Linked DNA regions of Daphnia pulex. The protein of the gene in region 1 purifies or fractionates together with the protein of each later gene. This does not show direct contact. Links are inferred from orthologs where the notes say so. Each region holds a gene or a part of one and is shown on either strand. Other genes may lie near its edges.

Region 1 (3,030 bases):
GCACACGATTTGCGTGTCCCAATCTTCAGCGTAGTTGCCCATAGATACCTTGATTCAGAACACATTATAAACATGATGAGCCGCGTTCAGTGGGAGGTGAAAGAAGTAATGAGCCAGCACAGTTCTTACGTGGACTATATACTTCAGGTAAGGTGTTCATTTCTTTACTCTTAGTTCTATTGTTCTGTCGCTTATTCCCAATTCTTCTCCGCCGGAGCCGCTGCAAGGTGCAATAAGTGGTGCAATTTCAGCAGCTGTTGTGTATGTGGGATTTCCTTCTAGTTGGTCTGAAGCAGGTTGATTTTCCATTAAAATTGCCGGCCAAAGCACAGTGTCCGGGGTAGGATATTCTGGTTTCTGGTTTGGTCCTTGAATCTTTTCAGGGAAAAAAAAATCAGCAACAAAATTTGAAATTAATTATTCTCAACCGTATCTCACAGCTTTCTTCGACAAAGGCTACACGTACTTGAATATGTTTTGTCGTTATCCATTCTGCGTCAGGGTCTACAGAAGCCGTTTCCGTAGTTTTTCCGTCTTTACTGTATGGTACATTGTGTATGTATTCTTCATCAGTATTTGTTGGGAAACTTACTGCATTACTCGATTCAGTGTGGCCACTGCCGTCATAGATTTCTGAGCTGTTTGGTTGGTTTTCATGAAATGTGTCTCCATCGTTCCGATCAGAGTTATAATCGATAACTTCATTGCATTGCTCTTTCGTTTCAATTAGAGTCCATGCAGATAGGATACCCTATTTTCGTAACGAGTTAGAACATGGGAATTTTTTAAGATCGAAGATATATGTACTAACTTGTTTTATCAAAGTCCATTTCATTCGTTGCCAATCAGTGAAATCTAGGTCTGTGTTTGTTCGTACCATAATGAACGGAATCGCAATGTGTTCAAGAAGAAAGGTGTGACAGATGTAAGCAACTGCGTACTTTTTGTAGTCGATTGAAACAAAATTCAGTGTAGCAAAACCAAATGCGTCTGAAAAATGTCAAAAAATTATATACTAGGTCAGGAACTTAAATTTTATAATGCTGTATGTACTGAAAGGCCAGGATAGTTTTATAAGAAATGTCCCTTCGGTGATTCGATTTTGCATAAGACGAAACTTCAATGGTTGTTGCCATGTCTCTGGTTGGTCTTTACAATTGGGCCAATCCAATGATATTCTTATCCAGTGGCTATTAGTGTCGTTTCCGGTTTTATTCTGATTCTCAGTATCTTCCTCGAAGTTTAAAATGGGTTGTTGACAACACTGGGGAAATGGCCATGGGAGATGTTGAATTATCCACTGCCCTGTTATCTTATATTTGTAAAATTATGAAAGCAAATTAATGTTATTGAACGGAAAGATTATCATGTAAAACATACCTGATGAATGTTGAGTGACATCGAGTTAGAGTTCGGACAACTTCCGGGTTGTAAAAGTGAATGAGTGCCCCACTCTAACGAAAAACTAAAGACAAATAATTCCAAGAAAACGGTTAAATGCAAAATGGACCACATTTTCGGAGATAAATATTGTCATCCAATTCCAAAAGCTGTTGATGTACAATTGAAACCGCTAAAGAAGCCCTCAGTTCTAGGTCTCTAGAGTAGTTGTGTATGGAAAGGCTTTTGTCGGTGTGGTCATCATTGTTACTATTTTACTTGTTTTACTGCTTCCGTTTCCGGTTTTCCACCAGTTGTATGTATATAAAAAAAATCTGGCAAACGGATGGGCGTTCCTACATAGGTGACCACGAAATTTAATAGGAAAATACTTCATTAATGCAAAATTTTCATTCGATTTCTCTACAGCTTTTTTCGTTCTTTTTTATATCTGCAGGTTCTGAACGATTACGATTCGAGTGTTCTTCGTGTCTGCTACCCTCATACGCTGCCTGCCGAGATATATAACATTTTATGGGATCAAATCCTTCGTGTGTGTTATCACATGCTGCTTGACGGGTATTAGCTTCAACTGTCTATTAAAGATGTTGTTAAAAATAGTTACCCTTTGATAGGTTTTCCGCTGTGCGGAAATGCACGAATGAAGGCCGTGCATTAATGCAATTAGATTTGAGGCATTTCCAAGTGAAAGTCGAATGTCTAACTAGATTAAGACCTCTTCCCGATCCATCCATAGTTGAAACGTACATTAAAGCATATTATCTTCCCGAAAATGCATTGGAAAAATGGATCCAAGAACAAACGGTAATAATTTTGATTTGGTTTGAAGAGAAGTTTAGTTTGTTTCAGTATTGTTTAAAGTTAAAGCAACATAAAAATTGTATTGATCATTTTTCAGGAATATTCTCCAAGGCAGATGATGAATCTTCTCCAGTGTGTAAGTCAAGGAAGTAAAAAGATTCGTTTAAATTTGACCTCGTTTATGGAAGACTTGGACTTGAATCGTCGGTAACGTAAATGTTGCAATTAATCTTTACCGATAATACAAGTTATGTGTAATAATATCAACCAGAATTTCCGTGTCAAAAGGTTATTCCATTCCATCATTTAACTGTCACCTTATATCAGGAATTTAAAAACTCGATTGGTCTATCGCAATTATTTAACTACTTTAAAACCAACTTGAACCTTTCGAATTTAACTAGAATAATAGTGAAATTTTCCACAATAATAATTGTACAAATGTCATGGCCATCGTTTATTACCAGATAGCAAAAACGGAACAAGAGAAACAGATTATTCCTTATCGTCATCATCATCCTCTTCTTCGTTGTTAATCTAAAAACAAAAACAAATTAGTTACGTTACTGGTACTATCACTTGATATTATTCACTTACGTTGAAATATCTGAGCTCGTACGAGGTCTTTCCGTTAGCAACGACTCGCAGCCAATCACGAAGGTTGTTCTTCTTCAAATACCGCTTCGTGAGATACTTCAAATACCTAATTTAAACATAAAATACTTATTCACTGATTTACATTTACCTACTAAAAAGATCAACAATAGTCTCAGAGTAGTCCACACATCAGTTTTCAGAGACTCTAGTTCGTTAATCTTATGGATATAT
Region 2 (4,264 bases), on another chromosome or scaffold:
ACTTTGCACTGAAGAACTTGTTTTAAAATGTCGCTGCTACAAAATGTTGTCTCATCATCAATTGTTAATTTTTTGGTTCCCTCTTTTACCCAATTTTTTAACTCTGGCAAAGTAGGTGCAGGAGTGGAATCTAGATGAAGCCATGAAATCTCTTCTTCCACTACAACAGTCTAGAAGACAACAGAATGAATGAATGAAATAATCAAGATAAATGTAGACATTAACAACCTCTCTACTTGAGTCCCATTCAACATCTTCAGCTTCCAATCCTTTTATCTGCAAACCCAATCCTCTTCTTCCGCGTTGTTTAGAGACTTCGATGGGCTGTGTCATACCTTGGGATTTCTTACCAAGTCCAGTTCCTTTAGCCCAACCCATTTTAGCCTTTAAGTAGTTCAGAAATCTATTAGCAGCCACATAGTATGCACTGTAAGAATATTAAACTGACCATCATTGCTGTGGCTTTATGATTTATGACTGGAGCAGCAGCAGATTTAGGTTTGATGAGTGTTTTATGTACAGAAGGCATGATAGGCTGATCATCATCACTAGAATCAGAATCTTGACTACTGGATGGTGCATTAAACCCATATCCTCCATCAGCATTACTTTTGGATGGGCTAACAATGACAGTGCTACGTTCACATGTTTCAATGTCATTTAGTTTCTTTCTTGAGTTAACTTCTCCTGTATTATTATAATACTGTGTGTTTGGTTTTTTCAAAGGAGGTCTGTAACTATCATCATCTGAACTGGAATCTGTAGAAATTTTGCAGGAAATTACTTATATTATATATATATAACCCATTAGTTGCAAAACGGGTTCCACCAATTTATTCAAGCTAGGTTAATTATTGCTGAAGATAAACCAACTTTTTTCTATAAAAAAATTTAAACAGCGTCTCATACTAACCACTCAGTGATGTTATTTTTCCTTGCGAAGCCATTGTTTAGCGTTTTGTAGTTGTGTAGACTATTTGATGACTGACGTCGTTCCTAATAATATAACGTTTCCAAATTTTTAAGTTAATTCAAAAGCCAAAAGCTTCCAAAAGTTGATTTCCATGATTTATATATGACTCACCAGAATTAAACGTACGCATTGACATGTGGCTATAGAAGTCAAAATGCAAGCATCTTGAAAATACACAAAAAAAAATGTCTGACGAATGATTTAATAAAACGATCGAATGACCGAACGGAAGAAAGTAAACACCGCTCGTTCTTGCTCACGCTAGCATAATCTGATATCTGTAGCGATGTCTGCTACAGTCTGGGTCTTTCATTTTTATTGGCTGATATGAAAATATTTTGAGTTTAGTATCAGTACATAGAGGGCAGCAGATAAGGTGGGGTCAGCTGTTAGTGTGGTGGTATTATTGTGTAATGTAATGAGCTAATCAGCCAGCAGCTCTCTGCAGACTGCATATCCAAAACCTAAAGCAAGCCGGCCTGTCATAATTTCTTACCTGTTATTTTTATGCCTTGGGTTGGCGGTTTGAGACTTGAAGCGTTAAGACATTCTGACATCAGCTCGCGAAACGTCAAAAACTTACATTAACGCTATCCAATCCCCAACCATTCGATTTGCAGTTACAACCACAGACTAAGAGGGTAAAGACTACGATCAGGGATAGGGCTAAAGAGGGATGCTTGAAGCGATGCTCGTCCTATGCCGTATGGTGGCGCGTCGAGCACACAAAACGAAAGCCATTATTTTTCCTCTTTCCCTACTGATTAGAGTCTTCACACACCGTAAGTTTATAATTAAACCATTAACATATCAATAGTGATGTTTTGTGTAAATATAGCTTAGATATCTCCCATGTTGTGGGAATTTTTTTAAATTTCTATGTGATGTCTAGATACAATCTATAAATTCCTTTATTAAACCCCCTTTTTGCCCATTTTCAGGCCCAGGAAACAGCGTTTCACGATTTTCAGGCCCATTTCAGAAAATCTTGAAACGCTGTTTCCTGGGCCTGAAAATGGGCAAAAAGGGGGTTTAATAAAGGAATTTATGGATTGTATCTAGACATCACATAGAAATTTAAAAAAATTCCCACAACATGGGAGATATCTAAGCTATATTTACACAAAACATCACTATTGATATGTTAATGGTTCAATTATAAACTTACGGTGTGTGAAGACTCTAATCAGTAGGGAAAGAGGAAAAATAATGGCTTTCGTTTTGTGTGCTCGACGCGCCACCATACGGCATAGGACGAGCATCGCTTCAAGGGGTTTATAGCCGTTCGTGGTCTTTACCCTCTTAGTCTGTGGTTACAACTAAAGAAATGTATGTGCGGTATGTGTAATCACTAATCAGTTGGTGAACAGTGCCAATGAAAAACGTCAAAATGAGTAAAGAACTAAATGAAAACGATAAAAGAAAAAGAAACAATCTTCTTTCTCAATACTATGGGATAACAGAAGAAAAGGATGTAGAAAACCTTTTTGACGTGGATGGAAAGCACTTTAATGCTGATGCCTATGTTGACAAACTGGTTCAGGTAATCATATTCTATTTCTTATTTTGCCAAATAATAAAATAAAACTTTTATGTGCTTGGATGTTTTTCAATAGGAAACCAGCTTAAAGCAACTTATAGATAAAGAACAGGAACTTGTTCGTGAAATTCAATCACTTGATTCAGAAATGCAAACTTTGGTTTATGAAAATTATAATAAATTTATCCTTGCCACTGATACCATCCGCCAAATGAAAAGTGATTTCAAAACTATGGAAGATGAAATGGAGAAGTTAGTTCAAGACATGTCTCATATTGCAACATTTGCCAACAATATATCTTCAAATTTACAGGTTGGTGAAATATTTGAGTTTAGAGTTGATTAAATTTTTAATAATAATGACCCTGTCTTTTTAGGATCGGCGCCAACAAATAACAAAGCTTTCAAACATTCACGAACTGCTAAAAAATTTGCAATTTTTGTTTGATCTTCCCAACAAGCTGAAAACATGTGTAGAAGAAAAGAATTATTCATTGGTTTGTTTCATTGACATTATCTGTCTATATTTCCTGTATTAAACTATAATGTTTCTTGTTTAGGCTGTTAAGTATTATGCAAAATCTGAGCAAGTTCTTCAAGATTTTGGAGATCATCCTTCTTTTAGTGGAATCCAATCAGATTGCAAAGAAATTGTTGAAACACTCAGGAAATGCCTAAAGGTGCAATTCAGCAGAGCTGAGGTAAGCTGTAAAAAAAATATTATGTTGGAAAGTAAGATAATAAGAAACTAACCAAAATGTCTATTGTGGAATTTTACATGACATGTTCATGGAATTCATAGGTAACTTCCCAGGAACTAGAAGAATCTGCATCTCTTTTATGCAAACTAGGTGAATCTTCCACTGACCTTGCAAGAGAATTTCTTGAAATCAATAAAGTGAGGTTAGAAAAAGATTTGGAAGATCTATCCTCATATGTGTGGTCTGGTGAAAATAATGGAGAAGTGGTCCTCATATTCATTGAAAAATGCTGCAATACAGCATTGAATAACGTTGCTCTTACCATTGCAACCTTCAACAACATTTTCCCTTCAACCATATCGAAACATAATGAGTATGTTTTACTTTTTATTGATTTTATGGTTTAAATTTTTTGCGTTTTCATCATAATACGTTGAATTAACAGGGGGATGAATAGCATGGCCACGGATGTTATTAATCAACTTTGCCCAATAGGTAAGGAGCTATATATTTCACCCTAGAAATTAGCTCATGTCATAAAATTTCCTTTTCGTCCCTGTAGTGGAAAGTAAAATTGTCGAAATCATCGGATTCGAGATAAGTGAAGCCTGCTGTTTGTCAGTAGTTGCGGCTTTGGATAAATTTCATCGTCGTCTATTGGCCGTTCAGCGACTATTACTGGTGGATAAGCAATGGAGCTTCACTCTCATTACTGAAATTGCTCGAATAATTTCACATCGAACAGCCGACGCTCTTGTTATCAAATGGACAAGTGAACTACAAGGCTGGCGTGATTCCTGGAATAACGATAATCAGCCACACGGTTCGGTCAAATTTATTGAAGGGGCTCTCGTGGAACACATTCATCGTGCTTTTGTTGCTCTAACGGTATTATCGTAAGGTTCTGTGTCATTTTATACCCGTTAAAATTCAACATTTATTTTTTATTTAGGCCTTTGTAGGAAATCACGTTACTTTTTCTCAAGATTCTCAATTCCGTCAGACATTTGGTCGACGTTACGTACGGGAAGAAGTATTAGTACAGTCGTT

Evidence for each region.
Region 2: the proteins of syndetin-like (region 1) and vacuolar protein sorting-associated protein 51 homolog purify together in Homo sapiens (affinity purification with mass spectrometry; 7 studies listed by BioGRID and IntAct, counting the BioPlex papers as one, with this or other methods). This does not show direct contact. The link is inferred for Daphnia pulex from reciprocal best matches to the Homo sapiens genes VPS50 and VPS51.

What each region holds. Positions count from the first base shown.
Region 1 is NC_060017.1:3,722,683-3,725,712, reverse strand, and holds the end of syndetin-like, read left to right. Parts: coding exon 1-147; exon of another isoform or gene 148-156; coding exon of another isoform or gene 157-375; intron 376-466; coding exon of another isoform or gene 467-751; intron 752-811; coding exon of another isoform or gene 812-990; intron 991-1,053; coding exon of another isoform or gene 1,054-1,312; intron 1,313-1,380; coding exon of another isoform or gene 1,381-1,515; exon of another isoform or gene 1,516-1,705; intron 1,706-1,837; coding exon 1,838-1,959; intron 1,960-2,015; coding exon 2,016-2,205; intron 2,206-2,299; coding exon 2,300-2,413; 3' UTR 2,414-2,469; downstream 2,470-3,030. Other genes in the region: uncharacterized protein LOC124195987, read right to left, coding at 157-375, 467-751, 812-990, 1,054-1,312, 1,381-1,515; 60S ribosomal protein L22-like, read right to left, coding at 2,698-2,739, 2,800-2,905.
Region 2 is NC_060021.1:636,278-640,541, reverse strand, and holds the start of vacuolar protein sorting-associated protein 51 homolog, read left to right. Parts: upstream 1-1,395; 5' UTR 1,396-1,592; intron 1,593-2,285; 5' UTR 2,286-2,348; coding exon 2,349-2,516; intron 2,517-2,589; coding exon 2,590-2,826; intron 2,827-2,890; coding exon 2,891-3,010; intron 3,011-3,073; coding exon 3,074-3,214; intron 3,215-3,315; coding exon 3,316-3,587; intron 3,588-3,659; coding exon 3,660-3,709; intron 3,710-3,776; coding exon 3,777-4,102; intron 4,103-4,166; coding exon 4,167-4,264. Other genes in the region: cap-specific mRNA (nucleoside-2'-O-)-methyltransferase 1-like, read right to left, coding at 3-170, 229-384, 449-759, 914-947. UniProt on the Homo sapiens protein: Acts as a component of the GARP complex that is involved in retrograde transport from early and late endosomes to the trans-Golgi network (TGN).